4 linked regions of the Caenorhabditis elegans genome follow. The protein of the gene in region 3 purifies or fractionates together with the protein of the main gene of each other region. This does not show direct contact. Each region holds a gene or a part of one and is shown on either strand. Other genes may lie near its edges.

Region 1 (7,525 bases), on a different chromosome or scaffold from region 3:
ATGAATTGACGATCGCCTATGCCTCTTCCGCCACAATATTATCAAGAATGTCCTTAATTTGGATTGATTATTCCGAGGTATTCGCGGTGCGGCGCTGAGATGTTCACTATCATAGGACAAGTATATACAAAGAAAAGGAATTTGATCGCGGTAACAAAGACTGAAGACAAGATATGGAGTCAAAGAAATGTTTCGCTAATTTTGAACAATAGAAGAACTTACAAGTCAATTCTAGTAAAACAAAATGTTCAGAAAATATATCTACTTTATTTTTAAAATAGCCCTCTAGACATGTACTTTATCAGCAGTATCATCAGATCAGCTGGTCCACATAAAAAGTACGAAGGATCAATTGGGAGTAGAGTGATGAGATTTGGACGGAAAACAGCTGGTTTTGAAGGAGGAGGGAAACGAACATGTACACATTGACAAGAAGCGTGTGAATTGGTTGACGAAGAGAATTGGATGAGAAGAGTAAGAAAAGAGAAAGATGTTCAAAAGCATAAGCAAAAGGAAGTAGCAGCTTGGGAATGGCAGGGGACCAACGTAGTGCTCAATTTGTTGTCATTGTTTAGCTTTTGAAATCTCGAATGTATTAGAAAAGCGGACAAGGTGACATTCGTCGGCTAGGCTCAATAAGAGAAATATCGACAAAAAATGCACACACATTTCCTGCATTCGAGTGGCACCAAAAGGAGGTGCTGCTGCAGTTGCCGATTTGACAAACATGGAAGCCAAATTGACGAGAACTAAAAAAAGGAGAGAGGAAGGTATTGAGGGGAGTGTTGGGAGCACCGACGTGTGAATGAATGACTGCAGCAGCTTGAACACCTGTCTGGTACACCTGGTACCGGATATGGATGTCTCGGAATATTCCCAAGAATAAATTATCAGGAAATTACTTAGATGTCGTATTCGGATGTTATAAATGGCTCAGGAGGACTATTAATTTTCAATTGCAATGTTTTTTTTGTTGAAAAATTATTGCTAATTTGGAAGAAAAAAAGTGAAAGCGGTTGACTGGTGTCCATCCATCGAACAACAACTATTTACATGGAATGAACCCGACCGATAAGAAGGCTGCGCGCGCGCCGCCGCTTCTCCTCCGGACGATATACGCGCATCCCTCTGTGTGTGTTAGAACAAACAGTGTATCCTCCTTCTTGGCCGGACGGAGGAGAAGAACTCGTCGTCGTTTTTCACTTTTTCACCCGGATTGTTGGGTTAGAGCACGGAGAGCAGGAGCAACATGCGGTTAACAAGCTCGTTAGGACGGTCATTTCGGCGACTTCTCGTTTTTGTGGCGAGTGGAAGAAAACCAACATAAAAAAGTTCGAAAGAAACATGTGAGAAAGTGTCTGAATTTTGAGATAGATTAAGTCTAATTTGCGGGAGAGAAGTGTATAGATGGAGCATCTTCAGGAAATCGGAAAGTTAGAATTTTGGAAAGAAGAAAAATAGAGTTAGAAAATAGAAAAATAGAGTTCAGGCAAGGGAAATAGTTTGAGAAAAATAGATATTCGTGATGATAATTAACATCAAAATAATTTAAATAGAATTCGAAGTAATTGAATTTGAATTGCAATTTTATCACAAATATACAAAAAGAACAAAGTTAGCAAGAGAGCATCACAGGAAAGAGAACACAGGCACGTATTCGGCAAGGACTAGGTTTCGAAATTAAATTTCAAACAAATATAAGAATTGGATCAATTTGAGCAATTGTTATCGTGTCTGATGGATTGGTACATTGTATAACACAGAAGATCCTGGAGAAACACGACTAACAAGATCTGCATCCGACATTCCCGATGAAAGAAGACGTGATCTTTGGCCATGTGGATCTGATAGACGAGCATCTGAACGAAAATAATATAATATATTTCAAGGAATACAGAAAATCTTACATTGAATAAGACGCCTCGTTTCACCGCCACCCTGAATGTAGCTGGCAGCATAAAATAGAGCTGTGAGCAGCAATAATGTTCCAAAAGTGATCATAATTCCAAATAAATCACGATTTCTGTCTTGTTTTTCAGCACATTTCCACACATCATCCCATAAATGAATTGTATCGTTCATCGTAGTCTCCACGTCGACACAAAAATCTACATCTGGAGTTGTGTAGATTTTCCAGTAATATCCAAAGAGTTCGTCAAAGGTGGTCTTGCAGAGATTACAGATTTTACTTCCATTGGTAAGATTATCATCCAGTACACCTCCAGATGTGTAATTAACAACACAATTTCTCCATTCATACATTCTGTTCTGAAATTGCATTGTCCTCTCACTGAATGACACTTCCGATTTGTTTTGCGGAAAATTCCATTTAATTGTTATGCAGGCTGAAAAATGGGAATTTATGATTTTTTTTGCCGATATACTCACAGTCACATCTGGATTTTTCCCAAATTTCTGAAGTTAAAGCTTTTGATATATCCGTACTGTACGAGAGCAGATAATTGTCATAAATAACTTGAGAGCAAGTTCGATTATCCAGGGAGTAGACATTATTCTGTAATAAAATTCATATTTTATGTGAAGACGGTTTTAAAAAATATTGTTTTCAAATTATACTCACCAGGTTTTTTGTTTCATATTCAAATTGTTTGAAATTAATGTAGTTTTGAAAGCATTTTGTGCAAACTACAGGTGGAATTGACCAGTTTGTGGCGCATGCTACCATTTCCGATTGTACAACAGCTAGTTTCTGAAATAAAGATGTTTAGTTGCATTAAATACTTCGAAGAATCTTACTTCCACATATTTTTGACAGGGTCCATCCAAATCCCAAGGATCATCAGTGATCGGCGCTGTTTCGAGCCGCTCTTCTCGAAGAGAAATCACGGAAAATATAAGTAAGCTGCAGAAAAGTATCCTTGAAAGTGAATTTACCATCTGCAAAATAATTTTTATTAAAAAGAAAGCATTTTCTAGCTTTAATATAGTTTTAAAACTAAAATAAACAAACAAATAAATAAAAAACAAAATAAATGTTTGCCCGTAAATCCACACTCAAACTATAAACAACATGCACTGCGTTATTTCGGAGTCTCGTTACAAAAAATAAATAGTCACGTCCATTATTGTCTCATGTTTTTCAACAAATTTCTTTGTATTTACATTTTAATTTCTATTAAACTTTGATTTATTGAATAAATCTCAGATGTTGGCCCGTTCGGCTCGTCTTCTGCACTCGGCGGAGCTCGCCGCCAACGCCATTCGTGCTGCTTCGGGTACGTTTTTTAATTTTGGTAATTTTCCATCAAATATGGTACTTCGTGTGGAATACTAGAAAAATTAAATATAAATTATTTAGGAAAGCATTTTTTAACGAGAAATATTAGGCTTTACCCGAGATTTCACAAGGTTTCGTGTTTTGCACGTAGGCAGCACTTTTTCAACGTTACTATTTTTTAATAAGACGACAATTTTTTATGTTCAGCTTTATTTTGTTTAATTATCTTTGAATAATTTTTCTAACATTACATGAAATTGGATATGTCAGAAAATTATATTATGTCTTCAAAAACTAAAATTTTCCATTTTACACGTAGGCACTGAAAGCTGTAAAGCTCGGTCGTGTTATTAGATGAAAAACGCAGATTTTTTTTTAAAAATCAAATACTGTTCCGTAAATATTAACCATCATTCAAAGTTCTGTTAATTTAAAAATATCAGTTTTGGAATTTCTTGAATCAAAATTTAAAATTCAAAAAATTTGAGAAAAGGGAATTTATAAATTTATAGCAAGACTTTATAATAAACAAAAATAATGTTTTGAAAAACGTTTTTTTAATTTTGTTTGAGCTCAACGTTGCAAGAATAATATTTATCCCTTAAATTCACCATTTTTAACACTATTTTATTGGAACTGTTTCAGGAGCGCCAGCTACTGCAGCGGCGGCTGAAGCCTCTTTTCCATCAACTGATGATGTAGCCGCCAAGACCAAGAAGACCGGAAACCGTATCAAGACGTTCGAGATCTATCGTTTCAACCCAGAAGCACCAGGAGCCAAGCCAACTGTGCAGGTTGATTTTCAAAGTTTTTTTTCTTTTTTTAAAATTTAATAGTTATTGTAGAAATTCGATGTTGATCTTGACCAATGCGGAACTATGATTCTCGACGCTCTCATCAAGATCAAGAATGAGGTCGATCCAACTTTGACTTTCAGAAGAAGTTGTCGTGAAGGAATCTGTGGATCCTGTGCCATGAACATCGGAGGTCAAAACACTTTGGCTTGCATCTGCAAAATCGATTCGGATACCTCAAAGAGCACCAAAATCTACCCACTTCCACATATGTTCGTTGTGAAGGTATTGTTTTAGAATCTAAAAAAAACGAATAAACCTTTTATTTTAGGACCTTGTCCCAGATATGAACCTCTTCTACGCTCAATATGCCTCTATTCAACCATGGATTCAAAAGAAGACCCCATTGACTCTTGGAGAAAAGCAGATGCACCAAAGTGTGGCTGAACGTGATCGTCTTGTAAGTTTCAGTATATTTTCTGGTGCAGAAGTATTTGAAAAAGCATAACATAATTTTTAACTCAAAAAAGTTTTAAAATGAAAAACATTCATTTTTTCAAACGAAATAAAAGTCTAAAATCAATAATTTATTCATGATTATCACAACATTATAAAGTAATTTATATATTTAGGATGGTCTCTACGAGTGTATTCTCTGTGCTTGCTGCTCCACGTCATGCCCATCCTACTGGTGGAATGCTGATAAGTACCTCGGTCCAGCTGTTCTCATGCAAGCCTACAGATGGGTCATCGATTCTCGTGATGACTACGCCACCGAACGCCTTCACCGTATGCACGACTCTTTCTCAGCTTTCAAGTGCCACACCATCATGAATTGCACAAAGACATGCCCAAAAGTTAGAGTGTTCTCTGTTTTATATCTCGACTTAAACGAATTAATTTCAGCACTTGAACCCAGCTAAGGCCATCGGAGAGATCAAATCGCTGCTTACTGGATTCACATCGAAGCCAGCCGCTGAGCCATCAGCATTTTAAATAAGAAAATTCCATTGTTTTGCCTAGATTCGATGTAATATTTAGCTCTGGTTGATCGATTGTCGCTTCTTTTCGAAATACCCGAATTATCTATCCCCGTTTTCCGATGTCTATACCACGAGCCTCCTCTTTTTGCACAATAAACGGAATTGGTAGATAACTGTAAAAATTTCGTTTGATTAAAATATAAAAGTCCCCGAAAAACATTGCACAATGAACATTCATTTCTATCAATTCAACTCTTCCTAACCTTTTCGTGTTCTTTACTCTACCGACCCAATCTGAAACAAGTATGATCCTTTGTGTGTGTCTTCCTCTCCCAGGGTCGAGACAAAAACATAATTAGTTCGATAATATGATACTGACAGGTTGGCTTGACAAGTAAGATGAGAACAGGAGGACGGAAAATTAAGACGGAAAATTAATTACGGGAAGTTAGAAAACATTGAAACTACCCGGATGCTGAGAACAAAATACAAAGGTTGTAAATATTGACAAAATTTTTTGATTTTCAGTTTGAAAAACCTTTTTTTCTTTTGAAATTTCCCATGTCAATTGCAAGAACTTTTCAATTTTCTGCTTTCAATATGTTTTCTTCACTATCATAAAACTACTATCATAGATCTATTAATTTCTTAAAAATTAGAAAAAAACTTTCGTATATTATATGTACAGACTTCAAATTTTGTCATTTTTGCGCCGAAAATACGGTATCCGGTCTCGACACGACATATTTTGTGAAATTTCAAAACGAATGCCCTTTAAAGAATACTGTAGTTCCAAACTTTATTTTCGTAGATTTTTCATAGATTTTGATTCAAAAAAATATTTATTTATTTAAAAAGGTACTGTAGTTTTGGCGCAAAACACGGGTACGGTTGCAGAAAAGTTCCGCTCGTGCCAAGACCCGAGATAGTTCGATTTATTCGGTTTATCAGTTGAGCGATTCGACTCATAATTTTTTAAAGTACTATGGGATTTGTGTATTTTTACCCCAAATTGAAAATTAAAATTGAACTTGATATGTATGTATGTAGATCAAATTTTCATACTACTGTTATGGAAACATTGGAAGGACGTGGAAACGGAATTATTATTTCTCTATAAAGTATTGTATTTATGAATAAAGGTTTTAATCACAATTTCTCGTACAATCAAACTCCTCATGTTCATAAATATCGTACAATTTTGTTTTCTTGGTCCATAATGTTTTATAATATTACGTCATGTGCAATTTCATAAAGTTATTCGAACTCTTACATTCAATTATCAATTTTGGAAACAATCTGTCACCAAAAGGCAAGCCAAGACTCTCTGGGGGATCACATAACTTCATAAACTCGCCAAATTTCGTATCTTCAAACTTGTGTATCTTGAAAAATAAACGTCTAGGAAACAAATACTCAACTGATAAAATGTTTAAAAATATTTTATATATTTTTTGCATTACTTTACAGTTTTCAATATTCAAACTATTTGTTGAGTTACACAGAGTAAAAGCCATTTTACCAAAAATCACAGGAATTTTTGAGAACTCTTCTGTTGTACCAGTCATAACTCAACATCGATTGAGTTTCAGAAGTAAAATGTTAATGAATAATAATTGCAAGATATTTTTCCACATTTTATCAGTTAGAATTTTTTTGATATTTTTATGTTCAGCCAAGTTACAGACCGTTTTTCGAAAAAATATCGACTTGAAATTTTGAACAATGATCACTTTTTTGAGGTTTCTACAATGTCCTAAAAAATCTTTCAAAAATGTTGGCTCATCTCCAAAATCGTCCTCCGCTCTGAAAAAAGAAAGTGGACCTTTGCCTTCCGAAAAATGGACGAAAAAATGAAATTGAGCTTTTTTGGTCGAAAAAAATATTTTTAGAATGCTGAGAACACGTTAAACACGAATATCATGTTTATTTTGAGATCCGGATGTTCTGAAAACGTCTGACGTAGATTTAAAAAAGCATCGATTTATTTTCATTTTCAACGTGAAAGTTTTGTGCAGCTTTTAGATTTCAAAAGAATCTCAAAATTTAGAGTTTTGAGATTCTTTTGAAATCTAAAAGCTGCACAAAACTTTCACGTTGAAAATGAAAATAAATCGATGCTTTTTTAAATCTATGTCAGACGTTTTCAGAACATCCGGATCTCAAAATGAACATGATATTCGTGTTTAACGTGTTCTCAGCATTCGAAAAATATTTTTTTCGACCAAAAAAGCTCAATTTCATTTTTTCAGAGCGGAGGACGATTTTGGAGATGAGCCAACATTTTTGAAAGATTTTTTAGGACATTGTAGAAACCTCAAAAAAGTGATCATTGTTCAAAATTTCAAGTCGATACGTTGGATATGAAGAGTTTTATGAGCGAAATTGGATTTTTTCGAAAAACGGTCTGTAACTTGGCTGAACATAAAAATATCAAAAAAGTCTAACTGATAAAATGTGGAAAAATATTTTTTTTTTACTATCCAACAAAAATTTAATTCTGAAACTCA
Region 2 (7,099 bases), 1.8 Mb from region 3:
TCTTCTCATCAGGAGTCTTCGAGTTAACAGTGACATTGAGTGGTGGGATTGGTTGGACGATTTTCCGATCGCAACGATGTGGAACTTCTTTAGATTCCCAGCATCTGTGAATGATAACGACATAAGGAGTAATCATATAAGCATCAGTTGTCACATAGGCTTTGAAATCAAATTCTCCTTTCTCGTTTGTCCATCGATCCATAAAATCTTCGTATCTGACTGAGAGTAAAGATTTTAGATTCAGTTGAACGATTTCAAACTCTCTTACACATTTGTGCTTCAGAAAAAATGTCCATTGGCATGTTGGCAGCAGGGACATCATCACACACAAGTTGTCCTTTGATATGCACGGAAAAATCTGTCTGCTTCACGGCCAGACACGTGGCAATAATACCGGAAAGAACAACAACTAGCTGAATGGGAAAACTTTAACTTCAAAAAACCTAACTATATTACATACCATTTACAAACCAGTTTGACCACTAAAAACTCAGTTGAACTGTATTTGAAACTAAATTTTTCTCGGTGTACGTGTCGATATTTATTTTAAAAAATTGCCACGCATTTATGTTTTCAGTGTTATTTTTCTTTTAGTCCTTGACAATTAATATTAATTGCAATTTCCAACATATCAAATAAAAATCAATGGGTACGGTATACAACACCGCAAACACCGTCACGTCAAGTCGCAGACTTTCAACAGCCGCTCCATTTTTATTTCTTATTTTTCTAGTTTTTCCGTTTATTTTGCGAAATATTATCACTTTTTGATTAATTTTATTGCAAAAATTTACAATTTTCAGTTAATATACTCATTGAAAACACTTTATTAACGTAGCTTATTACGTTATTCCTCCTGCGGTATTTAAATTTGGTTTTTCTATTCGCCACTACTTTTTAAAACGTTATTTTGTTCATCATTGAGTATTCAATTTTCAGAAATGACCGTATATCTCCCTGGCGACGTTATCAATGAACCTTCTTCAAGCGATTCCTCAATCATTGGCTACGGAATTAGTGTACGTGGCCAAACGAGAATTGCCACTCAACCTGGAGCTTTCCACAACGATGATGGAAAAGTCTGGTTAAATGTTCACAGCAAAAGGTAAGAATGATCACGAACAACATTTAAAATCACAATTTTTCTTAAATTCAGATATATACCACAGGAAGGAGACCGAGTAATCGCTATTGTCACTTCAAAAACTGGTGATTTCTTTCGTTTGGACATAGGAACTGCCGAATACGCCATGATCAACTTTACTAACTTCGAAGGTGCTACTAAAAGGAATAGGCCGAATCTAAAAACTGGAGATATTATTTATGCAACAGTTTTCGACACAACTCCAAGAACTGAAGCAGAGCTTACCTGTGTGGATGACGAGAAACGAGCACGTGGAATGGGACAGCTAAATGGAGGATTCATGTTCAAAGTTAGACACGAAATTTACTATTTATTGTAAAATTTAAAAATTATTATAGGTCTCCTTGAATCATTGTCGTCGACTAATCAACCCATCTTGCAAAATTCTTCAAACTGTTGGCAAGTTCTTCAAATTCGAAATCACTGTTGGAATGAACGGAAGAATCTGGATTAGTGCTTCGACTTCTGATGATATTATCAAGATTCACGATATTATCAATAAATCAGAGTTTATCACTGACGAAGATGAGCTTATCACCCTGGTTCAGAATAATTACACACGATCTGTCAGTGATTAAGAATCTTTATCTCAATTTTTAATTTTTCAGTGTAATTCCTGCTATTGTTGATTTTTTTTTCCTTTTGTTGTTGAACTTTTTAAAAATTTAATTTATCGTCTTGTTCTATGTAATATTTCAATTTTCAACGTTTCTTCGTTGTTTTAATATTTATTACTCAATATTCTCAATTCACAATGGAAAATTTTCGACATTCAGTATGGGTGAAGGCTTAGTGGAGCAACGTCAAGCTGACGATAAAGCATCTTGGGATGCTTACTGGAAAGTTCGTGATATCGATTCACGAGGATCCATCTACCCACGATTCCGTTATTATGCCCATAAGGCTTTCGACGCCCCAGCAACTTGGTTCAGAGGTAATTTTTAAAATTCTCAAGTTGGAGAATCATTTAAAGAAGAAGCAGCTTTGAAATTAGATTTAAAACCATTTACAAAATGTAAGAATTGACAGAAAACAAATTTCGTTCAAGTTTATTTACTTTCACCATTTGTTTTAATTCCAAGTAATTGATACTGTCTACGGTTTTATCCAGATTCAAAAAATTTGGGAACTTGTGGTGCAAGTAAAGGTTAATTTCTAATTCCCATATCATTGCTGTAAATTATAATTTTAAACTAGAAAAAAACCAAAGTTATTCGACTACCTCAAGCTGATGTACAGTTAGTAGTTGCAGTTCCACATAATAAATCAACTAGGCAAAACAATCCATTTTAATCTATTCTACTAACTCGTCAGCTTTTCAGAGACTATTGTGCAACCACTCAACAACAAGAACCGTCTACCCTACTATCACCGTCAACTTACACGTGTTCCGGAAATCGACGAATGCGGAGTGAACGACAAGGCCTGCTTCTACGAAGCCAATGAGCAGTACCGTCTTGATAAAATGGTCGATGGATTTATTCTGCAAACCCTCCGCCAACGTGTTGATCGGTGTATGCTTTACAACAATCCTGATCATTCACCATGTGCCAAGGTTATTGAGGATATGGAAGAGAATGAGTTGAATTTCTTCATGAAATACGGAGAGTTGGGAGGAGAATCCGATGTTCGTGATGCTTATATGAAGCAGAAGCATCGAATGATCTGGGAACGACGTCATCCAGAGATTATGGATGAGCGTGCAGCTAAGCTTGCTGATCATAAAGCACGACTTGCTAATGGAGAGTTTGACTATTCATTCTGGAAGAAGGGAATGTTCTATCAAGACAAGAAGAACTATGAGCCACCATATGAGTTCCAAATGAGCAAGTCAGCACTCGAGGGTGACAAGCCATTGTCCAAGGATTGGGAATACTACAAGAAGGTAAATATTCTTTCAAGATTTAATTTTAAAAAAGAAGCTACGAGAGAATCCTGGATCGAAAATTAAAATTTTATATTTTCAGGTCTCACAAGACCCAGAATTCGACAAGGATCAAGGAAAGAAGTCCGACTTCCGTCTCTTCTAATTCTACGCTGTCAATCTTTTCTTTTTCAATGAAATTTTTTAGAACGAATTGTGTTGAGTTTTCTTATTCCGTCGTAACAACTTTTTTTTCTTTTTCATGTTGCGTTCTTTTATTCCATTCAGAAAGTGAATAAATGTAGATTGTTTGATTGATTTATAAAGATTTGAATATGAATTTATGAGAAACGGAAATATTACCAGTCAGCTTTTCTTTTCAAATTAATTTAAATCAAAATTTAACTTTTTTAAGTTTCGGAAATGATACTGACATTTGCACGAAGTCTCTACACACAGGGGCAGTATAACGGAAAAATAAGGTTTTATTTTTAAATTAATTGTTTCTTTTTGAATTTGAGTTTTCAGAGAATATTTTTACTATGTGAGCCACAATGGTTTCCTATTTCTGGACGATTCGAGAATGAAGAATTTTACAGCGGCTTATAAAGGTTTATTTTACAGGAAAAACTGTTAACAAATCGAAATTTCAGATATTCAGTTTCTTAATTTCTTCTACAGAAAGATCAAGGAAAACAAGACGGGAAGATATGAGGTAAAACGCGAAATTTGCGATTTATCAACAAAAATACGGTAGCCGGTCTCGACACGACAATTTTTGTTGAATGAGAAAAGGTGTGCGCTTTTAAAGAGTACTGTAATTAAAAACTGTGATTTCTGCCGGATTTTTTTATTGATGTTTCCAATTCTTTCTATAAAATAATTCGACAGAATCTTAAGTTTTAATCTACAGTAATCTTTAAAGGCGCACACCTTTTCTCGTTTAACAAATATTTGTCGTGTCGAGACCAGGTACCGTATTTTTCACTTCAAAAATGTTGAAATTTCGTTTCTGGGTAATCTGAAAGTGTTCTAGATTTTCGATCAATTCCTATCGAATGCAATTAATTAAAGTTTCATCCATTGAATTGAGCTTAAATACTCAATTAAAAAATCGTGGAGGGAGCTGAAAAAAAATTATATGAAATTTCAGGATACATTCCCGTGGGTAAGCCTTTGTGGAATTGAGCGAAACTTTCTGAGATGCGACGACACTCCACTTGTTTACACGGAACTCGACTCCACTGAAAAAGAGCTCCGAATCGGGCAATCAACCATTTACCATTCGTTTCAAGTAAGATGAAGCACAGATTTTTCAGATCTGTATTCTAAAATTTCAGCCCTCATCACTTTCAATGAATTCAAGCGGCCGTGTTTATCACAAATGTCCGATTGGTGGAAAAGCACTGGTAGCTGACAAATTGACGGATAAACTGTATCGCCGGTTCCGATTTGACGATGACGGCGTTCCAGTCGGATTTCAGTGCGGGGAGCAGATAATTGAGCTTAAGAAATGAAATAAATAATAATTAATGTATATTGTCTGATGGAAAGTATCTAATGAAGTATTTAAAATAAAAATAATGTTAAACGTGAACCCTTTTCAAATTTATTTCCACGCCCTTTGGCGGCCTTTCAAAATCGATTTTTCAAGTTTTCGTTTATTCCCTGATCTTCCGGGAGTTATCTCCTCCACGTTGCATTATGGATGTTTGTAGGATTTTCAATCGGATAGGTCAGTTGCGAGACGTAACATTCTAAAATGAGCTTGTTTGGATGGGTCTTGCCGCGAAAACTTTACGGTAGCATGGAATTTAACGCGTTACCATAAACTTTTGATCGCAACTAGACCCACTCAAATAAATCTGTGCGCCTTTAAGCAGAGAATTAAAATTACAATAAAAATATTAAATATCGATGATCACCCTTTTTCAGTATACTTTTTGGTGGAAAAATCGTTGGGCGATATCTCGAAATTCGACCCATTTGATGTATTGAAGCTCGTCGCATTGTGGGGTGGACGTGTGAGATTTTTTGATAATTGGAAGCACAACCAGAGAGAAAGGCAGAAATGATAGTTTTTCAGTTATGTCTGCTGATTTTCGTGGGCACACTCTGCAATGTTACATATGTGGTAATCTTCAAGATGATACCAGTTGAATGGAAGTGAGTGAAACCTTCAATCTTCCACTCAGGCAAGAAATGCCTTCCTGCCTGCCTCTAGGTCGGTTCTGGCACCAACATGAGTGCCTACCGCGAAAAGTCCACGCCAATGGAAAAGAAAGTAGGCGTTAGGCAGGCAGGCATGATAAACTTGCTGAAACTCTATTTAACAATAGTTAAAGAAGTGTATTTTCAGCGAATGCCAAAATATGTCGTTCTTCGTGTTCCGTTTTGTGCTCCTTATCTACATTTACTACAGTGTCGTTTTTCACTACTACAAGGCCCGGACTCTGACACCTGTTGTGAATCCAGGGGTAAGCCTCCAAAAACAAAGATATGACGTCATAAGCATAAACGGTCGTCCGAAATCAAGCATTTGAGACAAATACTGTAATACACATTTCTCCACGAGGAGTACACACAAAGAACGTAAATCGACACGTTCTTTGTTTTACAGTCATTTCTCAATAAGCTAGAAATTGTAGAGCCTTTTTGAGATTTTTTTCTTAAAATTTCAAATCAAACTTTTCAGACTCCCAGTGACTCATTTTGTATCAAATGCAACAATTGGAAAGGTCCATCAACATCTCATTGTAAAGCTTGTGACAAATGTATCTACCGTATGGATCATCATTGCCCTCATATTGGACAATGTGTTGGAGCACACAATCAGAGCCACTTCTTCCTTTTTCTTTTCTATCTTCAAATTGCAACGGGCCTCTTTTTCTTGATGGCTACAACGTTTTGGATGAAATGGATAGAGGTTGGTTTGGTGCCTGCCTTGTGCCTGCCTATCCTTAAACTAGTAAATTATTAGTCCTTCAGACTCGTAAAGAACTAACTGCAATCCCGGATGATCAATGCTGGCCTCCATATTGTTTTAATAGATATTACTACTTGATTACACGTTCTCAAGGAAGTATGTCTGATGCATTTGAACCTTTCTAACTTCTCAAATTCCAGCCGAAGACACTATGGTTAAATTCGCATTTTTCCTTTTCGTAACACTTCATTGGATTATGTGGGGATTTGTTGGTGTCTACGTAGGAATCATTTCATTTGGATTAACTATGGCGATGAAAATGGTAATCAAATTGGCAACATCTGAACCAATTCAGAATTTCCAGTTTCAAAAGTCGGACGCTGAATCTCGTAAACCTTTCACTTGGTTCACAATCAAAGCTCGTTGGAGAAAATACATGAACTGTCAAGATGAGCCACTTTGGAAGATATTTTTTATTCCGAAAACCCGCAAAATTGTGTCGTATAACGATTATAAGGAGTTAATTATGTAGAATTATTGTAGAATTGTCTAATTTTCTCTTTTTTAATGTGGTTTTTTATATTGAGTTTTTTTGGTTGGCAATAAAAGGAATTGAAAATCGGGTTTTTTGTTGAAAATTGAAGAAATGAAGGTTGCTCAGAATCACTTTGATGGAACCAAAATAACAAATATCATGGGATAGAAATTTCAGAAAATATACTTTTTGTGGAATTCCAATTTGGAGCCGCGCGATTTTGTTAGGGCTTGGTGAGATGGAATGAGCTCGGCTTGTTTTCATATTTTTCCAATGACTAGTTTCTTCCTGACTTCAAGAAAAAACTTGAAAAAAGCAACAATGCAAGCGAGCTCCACCCTGCAAGCTCACATACAGCGTGGATGTTGAAATTGGAATTTGGTAAATGCTGAATTGGTTTTCAACAGGAAATAATGTTTTTTTTTTCTGGAAGTTTTTAAAACCATTGAAAAACGTGTTGACCGCCCTTCTTGAACCGTGGATTTTTTCTTCTAAAAAATCCAAAAAAATTTATCACAAGTTCTCATACTCTCGTTTCTTCCTCGAAGCGATGAGCACGACAAAATCGATAAAAATCAATTCAAATTCAAGTTTGACGGAGAGCAAGAAGACAACCATTGATGATGAGGA
Region 3 (6,040 bases):
ATGTCCATGGTAACTCCGCGCTCACTAAAACAAAGCTTGGTTGGCTAACAAAAATCAATTTTAATTCCATCTTACCGTTCCTCTTCCGTTTCATCAAGTACCCAGGCATACGCGAAAGAAGCTTTGCCATTTCTAGCCGCTTCATGTTTGAATTTGTCGATTGTACGGCTATCTACCACTTCAAGCTGGAAATATGAGAATTTAGTTAAGTTGAGTGAATCCCACATTTTTTTTAAACGAAAAGGAAAAGTTTTTTTCGCCGAAAACACGAAGAAAGGGAAGAACAAAAAATCTACAACCCTGTTGCCGGTGGGGTTAATTTACTTAAAATGCTTCGAACAAGCCACGAAGTATAAGTTATTAAAAATTAAAAATGTTTTAAGTAACAGTCAAAAAAAGGAAATTCTTTACTGTTGTTGCCATCAGGGCTGTACATTTTTCGGTTTCCGTTTTTTTCCTGCTTTTGAAGAAAATTTATTTTTAGATATTTTCGGAAAAAAAAGAGATCAATAAAGTAACTGACGAATTCTTAAATTTGGCAGTGTTACTATCCAAAAAAAACACTCGAAATTATAACTTGAGTGTTTTTGTCGAGAATACCTTTTTCGTTTCCGGTTTCGGAAAATAATTGTTTTCGGAGTCCGCCCTGATTTTCATTCATCAATAAAACGATTTTAAGGGCTTTAGATTTCAATTACTTTGTAATTATTCGTATTTAATCATTTTCAGGGTTCAAGACTGCAGCAATGCTTGAAACTACTCAACGATAAATAAATGACTGAAAATGTTGAAAAATCTGAAAAGTTTCGAAGTGTGCATTCTTGACACTCACTCATGTTCTACCAAAAATTTTGACGACACTTTCAAAGTTTCAATAACTTACATCATGAAGTAAATGACCCATGAGAGTACTTTTTCCTGCATCGACATGTCCAACGACAATCAAGTTAATTAAATCTTTATCAGCAACTCTTGGTTTTGGTGTTTTTCGGGCAACTGACGGAGCTTTCGCGATGTTCTGCAGTTGATTGCGTCGAAATGATGTTAAATCGACTTCAGAAGATGGGCGGCTCACAGTTGGAGTTGTTGATTCTGCTTGAAGCTGAAAAATTAGTATATATAAGATATAAATAAGATGCGAAATGATGCTTTCAAAGAAAATTCTCGTATTGGATTACGTGATAACTTAAGTTACAGTTGAATTTTTTAAAGTATTCTCGAGCTCACATTTTTAACTTGCGGCGTTCTTTTTGGAGTATTCAAATTGCTAGACGTTTGTGGTGTACTCGGTCGACTATTAAGATTCTTCGGTGGTTTTTGATTTTGATGGAGCAATGGAGCTGTCATATTTCGTACAATAGTAGAAGATAGGGAAGTTGTTGGAGCTGCAGTAGGTGTTGGAGTTGATACAGGTGGATGATACGATGATGATGGAATACCAGGATGTGGAGCAGGAAGAGCTGGTGAATTGCGACCACTATCTGTCAGATATGTATAGTAGTTTGTGGATAATGAATTACGATCATATGTATATTGCTCTGAAAATTTTAATTAATTATTTGAATGAAAAATAAAGTTTTTCTTACTTTCCGGGTTCTCCTCATCTTCATAATCGTCGTAATCGTCGTCATAATCGTCGTCCATTTCTGAAAAGACAAAATTGTTAATCTTCGGTTTCTTTTTTTTGAAGCTTACCATCTTCTAAATTTAAATTTCGAATAGCACGGTGGCGGGACATCTGAAGAACTGTTTTATATTTAATTCGCAAGTTTTCTTTCCCATCGTTCAAATAGATAGAAAGTTTCGGAAGATTTACAACCGATTTAACGAAATCATAATAGAAACATGGAGGGATAATAAATTTTAATTCAATAATAGCATAACAATAATAAGAAAGATCCTACTACAACAAAAAAAATTCTGAACTTCTAAATGAGATTATTTTTCAGTCATAGTTGGTGGTGGATGATAGAAGAGATTTGAATGAATAACAGTTTCAGTAAGTGAAGAGATTAAAGCTGGTTCATACTTTCCAACTGTTTCAAACGATTTTCCTTCGATAACGTCAATTTGGCGCATTTCTTGAGCAAGCTGAAATTTCGTTTGAATTTGAAACGTTTCAGAAATTAGTTTTAAAAAGGGTATTTTCAAAGTGTATATTTTGCTTACTTTATCCAATTCATTATTCAATGCTTTCCTCTTCTCTTGTGTCTCTCTTTTATGCTCTTCAACTTCTTTATCGTACTTTTCGTGCAATTCTTCCAATCGCTTCTCTTTTTCATTTTCAACTCTCAACTTTAATTGTGCTTCGGCCCATGCCTGAAATTTGTTGTTTTTTTAGTGTTTAAAGTTATCAATTTGCAAACTTTACCTTTCTAGTTTTCACATGAGCTGGCTGTTTCGGTACATGATACGAAATTTTCAGAGCGGCAATTGTTTTCTCGAATGCAGTCTCATTACGTTCACGTAAAATACGAAGAGCTTTACGGCGTTCATTGATTACGAGCCAGATTCGATGGGTGAGCCATGTTGGCTTCTGCAATAAATGTTAGAAATATTGCCTTTTTAAAATGTTAAACTACTTTTTTGGTTTCCTGTCCAATGTCATTAACAAGAAGAGACCAATGCCGAATTAAAGCCGTTAGCCAGGCAACTGAAATTAATTTTAGATAATATTTTGTGATTATTTCTCAAACAAACTTTTCATTTCCAAACTATTTTCATCGAGAGAATGCTGCCTTACTGATTTGATAAGACTTTGTTTCCATTCTTGTGACAACTCTTTTCTCGTCGCCATTTCAACACTAAAAATCTTTTTGACAGACTCTGGAGCATTCGAAAGAACATCTAAATCTTCATATTTCGCACGAGTTTTCGATTTTTCAATACGAGGCAATCCGAATTCGGTTTTTTCGAGAATCTGCAAGAATATTGCTTATATCTATAAAACTCTTGATTATCATACCAAATTATCAGCTGCTTTCAAACCCAAATCGCGTTCACTGCCAATTTTTTCGTAGTAAAGCTTCGTAAGTGCATCGATGTAGTTTTGATCTGAAAATCACTTAATAGAGATATATATCTCGGTACTTGAATATACTCACCCAGTGGCAGTTCTCTCGCTTTTTTCTCAAAGTAATCCGGATCTTGCTTGGCTGGGTCGGTGACCTGAAAATGATATATCAAATTGTGGCTAGTTTTGTTTTTTTTTCCACCCACTTTTTGATGAACGTTGTAGAACGCTGTTCTTCCTCGTTCCAGCCGACACGATGTGTGCACAAATCTTCGAAGATTTATCATCTGAAAGTATTATAGAAAATTGAACAAAAATACCGTTCAAAACTGACTTAATATTAATTAATCTAATCATTCATGAAAATTAAAACAAAAAAAATTTCCACGGCGCCTTGGAACTCAATGAGATACGGTTTGTAAAAGTCCGCAAACACCGTGCCGCTCAACTGCGGACAGCCTCGCTGAATTAAAAAAACCAAGGATTTCTTTCTCGATTGCTTAAAGGGTCCCACCACGATTCAAATATACTACTGTCTTGATTAAAACGGGCTGCTTGTATTTTGGGGGATTTTTTTAATGAATGAGCACTCATGGGCAACATTATTCCCTTTCTATTAAGTTTCATTTAAGGAACAAATAAATTTTAATGATCTATTCAATAATTGATTCCCTCGTCTCCCAATTTTATTGCCTTATTAATTTCGAAACACATTCTCTCATTCACACTCGAAATTTTCAGCGATGGCGACCCACAAGCTGAGCTTCTTCGAAAAGTTGGCCAACACCTTTGGAGCTCTTTACCGTCATCAAGCTCAGCAGTTCCCACGCCGTCTCGCTATTCTCAAGGCTGTTGGAAAGCACGAGCTGGCTCCACCCCGGTCTGCTGACATCCCAGCTATCAAGGCGGACTGGGCTAAGCTCCAGAAGTTTATTGAGACCAAGCAATATGTCAACCTTAGTATCAAGGTAATTTGTTACACGCTGAAACAACACTCAATAAAAAATAACTTCAGGAAAGTCTCGTCTACTCGGCAGTTGCCCTCGAGGTAGTCTTTTGGTTCTTTGTCGGAGAAATGATTGGACGTCGCTACATTTTCGGGTACATTGTTCCAGCCAATTATGTCTCGAAGGATACAAAGGCTAAGGTTGCCGAAAAGAAGAGACTCGCTGCCCTCGAAGCTTAATACATCGATAAGCATATTCATTTGTGAAAATATGTGTTTTTTCTTCAACGTTTGTTAGATAAAAGAAATTAAGGCTTTATTTTTCTAGTTCAATACAAAAAATTACAATCCACTAGTTTCTTCTCCAGCCTCTCGAGTGTAATCCTTCCGATCTTCCTCAAAAGTTTCAAGTGCCTTATTTTTCACTGCATACTGTCTTTTCAGAGATCGGCCTTTGAAAACATGAGAAGTGATTGTTGGAGCAAAAATGATTTGATTCGGAGCGCTAAAAATAAAACTCGTTAGAGAAAAATCAGTTTCGAAATTCTTACTCGGTCGCATCATCCTGGCTTATTGAACTTGTAGAGAGGGTTTTATCTACAGATACTTGTTTCTTGTTGAATTCAATAGTACCGTGCAAGGTATTCATGAAAACAGCATTTCTTTCACAACTCTTCTTGTATCTCGCATTAATTGATGCCAAGGACTCGGACATGATGGTGTTTGCTGTGTTGCTAGGTGGTTCTGTTATTCCAGCATGTTTAACTTTCCCCCCAGCAGTCATTGTCTCAATCAACTTTTCAGCAGTAACCGTGTACTTTCCCTCTGGATCATCGTCCAACGTCATATCCTCTCTGAAATTCAAATATTAAGATCCAACGGATGCAAGCCACGAAAATTACTCTTCGTCTTTTGCCATCCAATAAATCATCTTTCCTTTCTTCAATTGCGAACGGGAAATCGGTTGTTGATACCAACTGGCTGGGAACAGGGCTCTTTTGTCGTCAGTGGTATTCACAACTGAAAATAAACACTCCGATTTCTGTATTGTTTCGTAGTTTTACCGAATTTCTCCATCGGGGCTGTTGGCTCTAAAACTTCTTTTTGCTCCATTGTTTCCACTTTTGTTTGCTTGGGATCGACAGGGGCAGCGTATAAGCTAAAATATGATAATTTCTACATAAAACCATTCGACCCATTGAAACCTTTTCATCTGATCGTACTCTGCTTGGGACTTTTTTATGTTGTCCTGTTTATCTTTCCTTTGCTCCAAACTGATTTTCTGTTTCTTACGAAGAGCGTCCAGTTCCTTTTCACGAGCTGCCTAAAGTTCATGGTTAAAGTAAATTTCTCTATAATCTCTATGTTACGTGATCACGAATCGACACAAACTTTTTTTGTGGAGCCAAAGTGGATAAGTAGTATTCTTTCAATCGTCCAAATTCTACATCAACTTTCACTCCTTGACGATTGACAACCGTATTGGCTCGTTGCATCTTTGGATGGCGCTGAATTTCAAGAAATAATGTATTTCTTTTTAACTTTTTAGATGGATAGTAAAAACCGTAATTAAGCACTTCCTTTGCGCGGCGAGATATATATATATATATACTGTATGCTTACCACGTCTGAATTTTTCGATTTCGAAACGTATTGAGACTGCGTATGAAAGATTTCAACTACTTGCTCCTTTCGAAATTCTTCCCAATTTTTCAGTTGTTTCTGAGCATCCTTCCTGGAAACCAAATCAGATAAGTTATTACATATACATCAATTTATTTAATTACTTGTGAGTTTCATACTGATCATCACTCAGTTTATACCGCTGCTGCATCTTCTTTTTGTAGCTCATCTTCTTCGCCTGTTTCTTTTCATAATCAGATTTCTGTTTATCAGGCGATGGTGATAAACTGAGCTTTTGGAGTTTACCTGAAAGCGCTCGATTTTACTTTAAACCAAAAACTCATCATACTTTTTAAACCAGAGAAATTCATGCTCGCTATTTTTGACTCGAGCACTTGTGAAATGATGCGTGTGAATACTTAGACGTGAATAGAAGGATTAAATGGAAGTTTATTTAT
Region 4 (8,666 bases), on a different chromosome or scaffold from region 3:
AAGTTTCTTATAAAACTGGGACCAAATACATATTGGGATTTGTTGACGGAACGTGACGAGATGATTACACCAGAAAGAAAGAAAAGTAAGAATTATTCAGACTTTGAATGGTTAGTGCAAAGAACCTTTATTCCAAGTAAAAGTGCATTCCCGAGTTGATTAAAAATGGATGAGTGGTATTGGAAAATGTACTATGAAGAGAGTACTAAGTACAATGGTCCACTGAGACCCAAATATTTGATCAACAGAATAATCTGGTTATGTTATCATAAATTGCTGATAACGAGAAGCCTATGAGTGCATCGAGTGTCTTATTATCAGATCAGTTTCCCACTTGAGTGGTGTGACCACTTGGCGGAATTCTACAGCGGAGGAATACGATACGCGAGTTGAAACAATACAAAAGAGCCCAGGAAAATATAGTTTCTCCAAAAAATTTAATGCAGGGATGGGTGGTAAATGATTTTTTTTTCCGGCAAATCGGCGAAATGCCGGAATTGAAAATTTCCGGAAAACCGGTAATTTGGCGAAAATAAAAATTTCCGGCAAATCGGCGAATTGCCGGAATTCAAAATTTCCGGCAAATCGGCAAACCGGCAATTTGCCGAAAATAAAAATTTCCGGCAAATCGTTATAAGAATCAGGGGTGGGTGGCAAACGATTTTTCCGGCAAACTGGTAAATTGCCGGAATTGAAAATTTCCGGAGAATCGGCAAATTGCCAATTTGGTGGGAAAACGGCAAATTGTGATTTTGCGCATTTTTTTTTGGAAATTTCAGAATCAGCAAAAATTGCCTGAATCAAAAATTTCCGGCAAATCGGCAAACCGGCAATTTGCCGAATTTGTCCACAAAAAAATTTGCAATTTATTTGCAATCCAACGGCAATTGCCGCCCACCCCTTCTATAAAAGCAATAATTTTTAACCAGAAAAACAATTACCTACCATGATTCAGAAAAATTAGGAATAAAACAGGTAGCTTGACGAAATGACTAATTTGTAACATTTTGGCTTGTAATATGTGAAACACTGCGCACAATTGAAAATATTGGAACAGCAGGGCAGTGTCAGGAGTGCCCGCATTGAGTCATATTTGTTTGTACAAACACTTACGAGTACCTAACAAAAAGTAAGATTCCTCATGTTTTCAAAAAATCAGGCGACAATTGACGAGATTATCGAATTTTTGAAAATTTCAAAAATCGACAGTTGCCGAAAGTTTTAAAATTTGTTCTAAAAGTTAATAAAAAAGTTTTAAAAAAAAACATTTTAAATTTGGCAATGTCAAAAATTTTTTTTTCGAAACATTTTCGACTATTTAAAATTCGGCAACTCGCGAATTGGAAAAGATTAAGAGAACTGTCGAATTTTCTTTCTTTAAAAAATTGACAATGCCAAAAATGTTAACTCATTTTAATTCAAAAGCTTAGAAAGTGCAAATTGCCAAAAATTTATGTTTTTCGCCGAAGAGAATGACCGGAATGTTGCGTAATCGATGCCAAAAGACAATAAGTCATGGAAAAACGGATCGGTCAATGTTTGCAATGTTCGGAATGAAGGCGAAAGCGAGCCAGCTCTCTCTCTCTCTCTCCCGAAAAATGGAAGAAAAACCATTCCCACGAGGGTTTGTTCGAGAGGGGCCTCCTCTGCTGAGTGACTGGTGACGAAGCAGTCATGAATTTGAAATTCTGAAATTCACATTTGTGTGCGTCAAACAACGTTTATCATACAGAGCTCTTCGAGAGAGAGAGCTTCTAATTGGAAGCGACTGCTCTATGAGGAAGAGCTTGCTCCACGGAGCAAGAATGTGTGTGTCGTGTCGAATAATTGAGGAGCTTTTGAAGAGTCTCATTCGAGTTACAATAGATGTAACACAGAGATAACACATATTCTTGAAGATTATGAGAAAGACTTAATGGACCACGCGTGGATTACTAGGATTACTGTAGAACTCTTCGAATTGAACAATTTCGTTATTTTCTAAAACTATAAAGGTGAAGTGAAGAAGCATCTGGGGTGGGTGGCAAACGATTTTTCAAATTTATGTTCGGCAAATCGGCAAGCTGCCGAAAAACAAAATTTCCGGCAAACCGGCAAATAAAAAATCTAGCCAAAATCTCTTTTTTCTTCTAAAATTCCTAAATAACAGCTAAAAAGATTTTTTAAAAAAGAAATCATACACATTTTTGTCACATTTTGGTCGTTAATTCCGCGTTTTTAGAATGAATTTTCGATTTTTGAGAAATTTTAAAGAGGACACAATCAGGGATGTCTTTTTTTGGGAAATATAGATTTTTTGGTTTTTCGATACCAAAAAAACTGAAAAAAATTTCAACTCAGATTCAGCGAAACAATTTTTAAAGAATGAGAAAAATCGATCAAGTTTTAATATTTTATGAAAAATCAACAGAATATTTCATGAAAATATTCCGTTTTGCCCCGTTTGAAAGCAAAGTTGATTTTTTTTGGTTTTCGGTCGAAAATTTTAATACGTCTTTCGTGGCCATTTTGAGTATTATAGAGTAATTTTTTTTAATTACTTCGCCTTTAAACATGTTTTCAGCTAAATTTCCAGAAAAACTATGCTTTAAATTGCAAAAGTAAACGCTGAGAAGTATTTATTTTATAAAGAATTCTTATTGTGAGAGCGATTCGAATTTTAATTATCCTTAAAACAGGAAATAATAAATTTTTTCTGCCAATCAGTACAAAAAACGAAGCTAAAAATTCGAAAGAAAAACTGCGAAAACTGGTAGATCTAAGAAAATATGAAGAAAATATGAATATGACGGCAGATTACTTGCAGAGTGAAGACAGAAAAGAACTCTAAAAAGGGCTTTGAGCCCAATAGCTGCTGAACAAAAACCTAATTATGTAACTGACTGCCTCTTTTTCGACCTTTTTCCCAACAGACAACGCTTTTTCTTTTTTTTCTATTTTAAGCAGAAAGATGAGACGTCACGGAAAAAGAGATATAAGAATAAAGAAGAAAGTGAGACGAAAATTCACACTTCTTCAATATTCAAATTTTTGTGGTTAAATGTTGAATTTCGAATTTAATCCGCCTACGGAATAATGAATAAGGAGGGGAGCTTTCTATAGGAAGCTCCACAAAAAATAAATATTCTGAAGACGTTTGGTGGCGAAAAAAAAAGAATCAAGTACACTGGACAACTGGGACTCTTTTCCTTCTCTTTCGTACACTTTTTGAGGGGAAAAAAGAAAGCACCGCCCGGCGGCTTCGAGGGCTCGCAGAGCTGAGTAACGGGGGAAGCAGCAGCACATTTTCATGTTTTGTTTTGACCGATCAATTTCATTGCAAGAAGAGAACTCTTGCAATAAAAGGAATAAACAATTGCCGAACGCTTTTAGATTCTACGGGAATTTGTTTGGAGATGGATGCAAGAAGAAAATCGGAAGTTTACAGCTTCAGTGGGCCGGGTAGAGGACATCTAAATTGTGGCAATTAATTCCAAAAGAAGAACTCTAAAAGATGCGTAATGTTATTGGCTTTTTATTAGAATATCTGATTTTTAAATTAAAAATCTTTTTTAAAAAATGTTTTGTTTTTTTCTGTTTTTTTTCCTATTACATATTATTTAATGATAACATTTTGATTTCAGATAAGAAACATTTTAATCAAAAAGAACACAAATTGTCAAAAAAAACATAGCGATAAGGCGTGGGAAAATGCGGGAAAATGCAGGCAGACGGAGAAAAAAAGAAGAAAAAAACTAACCCCGAGAGGAGTACACACGACGATACTCCGAAATCCCGCACCCGCGTGTTGTTTAGCCAATATTTCTTTTTAAGTTTTTCGCTGTTTTTTCGAGCAATTTTCGTCAATATTTTCTAGTTTTAAGTCTTTAATATTATTTTTATTTGATTTTTCAGATGCTGAGAAGTCTGTGCTCAATAGCTGTTCGACTTGGCGGTGCAAGACAACCTCGATTGCTGTCCAGCGCAGCTTCGGGCGATGGAAATGATGGTGTAAGTTTTCCGGCTCATTTTTCAAGTTTTAAACCAGTTTCTTCCAGAAAGGTGCAAAAGACGCGATTGATGAGGATTTGCTGAATGCGATTGAAGGAGTAGCGAATAATATTCACCCGCAGAATGGCTCCGAAAAGAAATCGTAGGGTGAAAAATAATAAAAAAGATTCAAATATAACTTTGCAGACTAAAAAATACATTGATCAATCGATTAGTAGCAAACGAAAAAGCGAGTTTTGATGCTGCCGCAGCTTCTGCAAGCAGTGAAATGCTCGATGATCAGGCACTTATCGGACTTCTTGCCGATGTGGCGGGCGATGCCAAAGTTGAGAAGAAGCTTCCTCCCAAGTGAGCCATTTTCAATGATCCGTGACAAATTTCATTTTTTTTCCAGATCCGCTCAACTTCGACAAGAAAAACGAGGACTTGTTCTTCTCAGAAAAGAGATTTTCTATCAGGCAGTTCAAAGTGGCTTCACGACAGAAGAAGCTCGTGTCAAATCAGAGACAATTGTCAATGAAGCACAGATAAAGCTCCAAGAGCAGCGAAAAGCTCTTCTAAATGATGTTAGAGAAAAGGTGGAACAAGAAGAAGTTGAAGAGACGGAGAGAAGTGAGAAGGATCAGAAGTTGTTCACGATGGCCTTGGAATTTATGGAAAAGATTTACAAGGATGATTTGATTAGTAGTGCTGTTCGTAAACCTGTGAAAGTTGACAATGATGCTATTAAATTGTTCAATCAGAAGCCTCTAGGAATCTGGAAAAAGGGCGAAAAATATGAAGATTTTTCCCTTGGCTTCTGGAAACAATGGGATGAAAGAGCTGCAAGGTAGATATTTATGAAATCAAATGGCTCAAAATCCCGAAATTTGATAAAAATTGCTAATTTTAGCTGAAATCTCAGATTTTCTCAATTTTTCCGTTTTGCAGCGATTTGTTTCACACATTTTTGGTAATTTTTAACGTTGTTTCGTTGGTTTTTTCTTCATAATTCTATAAAAACAATTTCCAGTCGCTATGGTGCGAAAAAGTTGACAAAAACGAAGATTTTAGCTTAAACTAGTGAATTATCAGAAAAACTAAGTATTAAAAATTTTGAAAGATTTTTCTAAATTTTGCGTGATATTTTCAATTTTGTAAAAAAATTTTGTTTTAAATATTCGCATTTTCCGGCTGAAATTATCGTTTTTTCGTGATTTTTGTCTGAAATTTTATGTAAATTATATAAAAATCGATATTTTTTTCCTTTTTTCACGGAAACTAACGAAATTTTGCCGGTTTTCTAAAAAATCCAAAAAAAAATTGGATCAGAAAATTAACCATCAAAATCGATTTTTTATCTAATTTTGTTCATATTGATGATGAAAAACATAAAAATGTCATTTAAAAAGAAGAAAAATTATCATAAATTCAGCTAATTAAAAAAATCAAAAATTGAAACATCGGAAAAATAACTAATATCGAGAAACAATTTTTTTTTGATTTTCAAAAAAGGAAAACGAAAAATAGAAAATGTTTCAAGTCAATCAATTCATGAAATTTGGCATTTTTTTGTGTTGAAAAATTGAAAGAAAAATTGGAAAAATGTAGAAAAATGTTATAATTTTCTTTACTTATTTGATCATTCAAATCCATTATCCACCTTAAAAAAACCGTTTTTTTTTCAGAATTTCCAACGGCTCATTCGGACCAACAAATTCTTTCGAAGAACAAATCGAATGGACAACAAAAGGAAAACAATGGGAATATCCAATCGATAATGAGTTCAAAATGGGCGATGAATCGAATGTTTCATTCATTGATCACGTATTCTTGGAGAGACATTTACCATCATTGGGTATCCCGAAATCTGGTCCAATTGCTCATTTTATGCATTTGGTTTGTGTTGGTTTATCCAAGAATCCATATATGACAGCAGCGAAGAAGCGGGAACATTTGAAGTGGTTCGCTGATTATTTCAATACGGAAAAACAGAAATTGGTTCACAAACTTCACGAACAGGAACAGATTGCTGCTCAGAATGCTCTTTAATTTTAATTTTTTTTTAAATTTTTGTTTGAAGGTGGAGTACCGAAATTTAACCCGAATTTCGCAATGAGATGTTCTGAAAATTTCTCAAAAAAAAAATTTAGGGTGGTTCAAAAAATTTCGATGTTTTTCAGAGAAAAGCGATTTTTTGAGAAAATTTTGAAAAATTCGATTTTGTTTTTCTGAGAAAATGTAATAAATTCCGATTTTTTTCGGAGAAAATTTTTAAAAAATTCGATTTTTCCGGGAAAGTAAAAACAAATTTCAATTTTTTTTTCATAGAAAATCTGAGAATTTTTGATTTTTTCAAAGAAAATCAGAATTTTTGATTTATTTTTCAGAAAAAAACCGAAACAAAAATCAATATGCGGAATTAATTTTTAATTTTATTTCCTTTTAATGCATATTTTAGTAATATATTACGCGTTTACTCGTTGAGAGCGCACAAAATTATATAAAATTTGTGCACCCATCAATTGAAAATGTATCTAAATTAATTAAACTATGTATTAAAAGGTGTTAATTAAATAAACAACAAGTTCCGAAAGTTTTTAGGCTTTTCGGTGTAGAAAATTAGTTGAAAAATCGAATATTAGATAATTAAAATACAATTTACCAAGAAAAACGACTCTTGATAAACAATAAATTTGGAAAAAAATCGAATTTAGATTAAAAACCAAAAAAAAAACCTTAAATTGATTTTTTTGCTGAAAATACGAATTTTTCCATAACTTTGAACTGCGAAAACCTTTTTTTGAGAAATTTTCGGAACTTTTCATTATAAAATTCGAAAGTTTTGGGACATTTTGAATCTGATTTCGGTACTCTATCTTTTAATAGTGAATAGGATTTTTCTTCTTCTTTTTTTGTTTTGTTTTTTATTTCTTTAGGATTCACTTTTAATTGTTATTTATCTCTTTATCATTTTCTGTTTTTCATTGTGTACCCCCAGAGTTTTTTTTCCAACAAAATTTATCCAAAATATTTGTTTCTTGAAATTTGTTGAACAACTTGGTGGATAGATCCCCGCGAGTAAGAAATATATGAAGCGGAAAATGTATGAAAGTCTCAGAGACTCCAATTTTTGGGCTCTTTTTCAGGCATCAACTCTCATATGTGTCGATGGATGATCTCTCGGAATTCTTTGTGATTGAGGAGATGTTTATTTCGGAGCCAAGGTGCGGTTTTCTCTTTAATTTTGAATTTTCCGGGAAAAAATTTACCTAAAAATTGCCTCAATTTTACATGTTTACTCCGAAAAAATAAGCAAATTCTATGAAAATAAAAAAATAGGAAAAAATATCAAAAAAGCACAGTTTTCAGGGTTCCGTCTTATAAAAAATCCTTCTAAAAATTTCCGGCAAATCTGATATCCGGCAAACCGGCAATTTGCCGAATTTGTCAACTTCCAGTGGCTTTTGAAAAAAAAATTTCAATTGCTTTTTCGTATAGAAAACTGGATTTTACTACCTGAAAAATTGAATTTTAGATAATTAAAACTATATAATTAAAATACAATTTACCAAGAAAAACTACTCTCTTGCTAAAAAATTTTGGAAAAAAAATCGCATTTAAGAAAATTGAAATTTTTTAATTAAAATTAAATTTACCAAGAAAAATCACTCTATTGATAAAAAAAAATTTGAAAAAAATCAAATTTTGTTTAAAAAACCAAAAAAAAAATCCAGCAAAATTTGCAGCAAATAAAAATAAATTTTTTGCTGAAAATACACAATAATTTTTGATGAAAAGTTGAAATTAGCGAGAAAAATATAAAATTTTTTATACTTTTAAGATTTGTTGGTAGCAGAAAACAAAAAAATTCCACTAAAAAATGCCAAAAAATTTAAATGTTTTTTCCCGAAAAATTGCTGAAAAAATTGAATATTGTTTTGAATATTGACAAAAAAATTCAAAAGGAGAAAATAGTTTCAATTTAAAAATTTGAAATCACATACTTTTTTTTTGTAACATTTGGTGTGATTCATGATTCCCAACTTTGAAAAAAAAAACCATGAAAGTCTATAAAAAACCTCGTGTCGATTTACGCAGCTCGTGTACTCCCCGAGGATTTTCACCAATTCTTGGTGCATTTCCCATTCAAAGCGTAATTTTTGTTCTATTTAAGAAAAAGCCTGTAACATTGCCGAGAAACCTCGAAAATTGAGCTAGTTTGTCCTTCTAAAATTGGTTCTGAAAATATATTATTATTTTCTTTTTTGAGAAGTTGACCCTAGACAGTGTTCCTTGAAAACTCCTATTATCCGTATTTACACACACTTTTCCTAGAAATTTTTGAAGTAGAATTCACCCAAAAATATTCATTTTCTCTATCTAAATGCAATCTAAATTTCACCAACTTTTTCATTTTTTGTTCAATATTTCATCCATCTCCATCTCCTTCACTTCGACAGAGACAACGGAACCAATTAAAATTCGACGATGGCGCCCGTCCGGGACTAAACTGCCAAATCATTTATGTGGTCGTTGTCGCCTCTTCTCATCACGCACCTCCAATGCTTTCGTCCTTTTGACTGACTTTTTGATAACCTGTCCGCACTTTTCAGTGTAAATGTCTATGTGAGACAATTGAGTGAAATTCTTAGATGAAATTGAGAAGATTGAAATTGATTTGAACCTAAAAACTT

The links.
Region 1: the proteins of asg-1 (region 3) and sdhb-1 fractionate together in Caenorhabditis elegans (co-fractionation; one large-scale study listed by BioGRID). This does not show direct contact.
Region 2: the proteins of asg-1 (region 3) and ndub-10 fractionate together in Caenorhabditis elegans (co-fractionation; one large-scale study listed by BioGRID). This does not show direct contact.
Region 4: the proteins of asg-1 (region 3) and mrps-31 purify together in Caenorhabditis elegans (affinity purification with mass spectrometry, with the first as the bait; one large-scale study listed by BioGRID). This does not show direct contact.

The regions. Positions count from the first base shown.
Region 1 is NC_003280.10:9,348,373-9,355,897, reverse strand, and holds sdhb-1 (Succinate dehydrogenase [ubiquinone] iron-sulfur subunit, mitochondrial), read left to right. Parts: upstream 1-3,166; coding exon 3,167-3,236; intron 3,237-3,883; coding exon 3,884-4,032; intron 4,033-4,083; coding exon 4,084-4,317; intron 4,318-4,363; coding exon 4,364-4,492; intron 4,493-4,664; coding exon 4,665-4,889; intron 4,890-4,938; coding exon 4,939-5,028; 3' UTR 5,029-5,184; downstream 5,185-7,525. Other genes in the region: cup-15 (Coelomocyte uptake defective protein 15), read right to left, coding at 1,726-1,859, 1,908-2,345, 2,389-2,515, 2,582-2,710, 2,758-2,898. UniProt on the Caenorhabditis elegans protein: Iron-sulfur protein (IP) subunit of succinate dehydrogenase (SDH) that is involved in complex II of the mitochondrial electron transport chain and is responsible for transferring electrons from succinate to ubiquinone (coenzyme Q).
Region 2 is NC_003279.8:10,517,440-10,524,538, forward strand, and holds ndub-10 (NADH dehydrogenase [ubiquinone] 1 beta subcomplex subunit 10), read left to right. Parts: upstream 1-1,920; 5' UTR 1,921-1,921; coding exon 1,922-2,078; intron 2,079-2,466; coding exon 2,467-3,029; intron 3,030-3,111; coding exon 3,112-3,174; 3' UTR 3,175-3,322; downstream 3,323-7,099. Other genes in the region: nlp-4 (Transthyretin-like family protein), read right to left, coding at 1-219, 269-413, 461-463; exos-3 (Exosome complex component RRP40), read left to right, coding at 942-1,105, 1,157-1,433, 1,483-1,722; UPF0598 protein F59C6.12, read left to right, coding at 3,432-3,490, 3,537-3,619, 3,662-3,723, 4,162-4,302, 4,349-4,525; dhhc-12 (Palmitoyltransferase), read left to right, coding at 4,713-4,743, 4,944-5,032, 5,095-5,174, 5,368-5,485, 5,704-5,934, 5,997-6,090, 6,135-6,256, 6,299-6,466; F59C6.3 (uncharacterized protein), read left to right, coding at 7,020-7,099.
Region 3 is NC_003279.8:8,689,192-8,695,231, forward strand, and holds asg-1 (putative ATP synthase subunit g 1, mitochondrial), read left to right. Parts: upstream 1-3,754; 5' UTR 3,755-3,756; coding exon 3,757-3,981; intron 3,982-4,028; coding exon 4,029-4,199; 3' UTR 4,200-4,277; downstream 4,278-6,040. Other genes in the region: hbs-1 (Tr-type G domain-containing protein), read right to left, coding at 1-24, 76-185, 884-1,102, 1,228-1,538, 1,587-1,646, 1,696-1,738; mrps-15 (Small ribosomal subunit protein uS15m), read right to left, coding at 1,939-2,091, 2,170-2,319, 2,372-2,536, 2,583-2,653, 2,701-2,920, 2,966-3,054, 3,105-3,168, 3,220-3,300; K07A12.5 (Pre-mRNA-splicing factor SYF2), read right to left, coding at 4,302-4,464, 4,511-4,813, 4,862-4,979, 5,024-5,118, 5,165-5,283, 5,330-5,467, 5,583-5,694, 5,747-5,888 and 1 more. UniProt on the Caenorhabditis elegans protein: Mitochondrial membrane ATP synthase (F(1)F(0) ATP synthase or Complex V) produces ATP from ADP in the presence of a proton gradient across the membrane which is generated by electron transport complexes of the respiratory chain.
Region 4 is NC_003281.10:3,625,595-3,634,260, reverse strand, and holds mrps-31 (Small ribosomal subunit protein mS31), read left to right. Parts: upstream 1-3,888; 5' UTR 3,889-3,894; coding exon 3,895-3,990; intron 3,991-4,037; coding exon 4,038-4,132; intron 4,133-4,176; coding exon 4,177-4,338; intron 4,339-4,384; coding exon 4,385-4,819; intron 4,820-5,657; coding exon 5,658-6,021; 3' UTR 6,022-7,027; downstream 7,028-8,666. Other genes in the region: sel-8 (Protein lag-3), read left to right, coding at 7,141-7,196.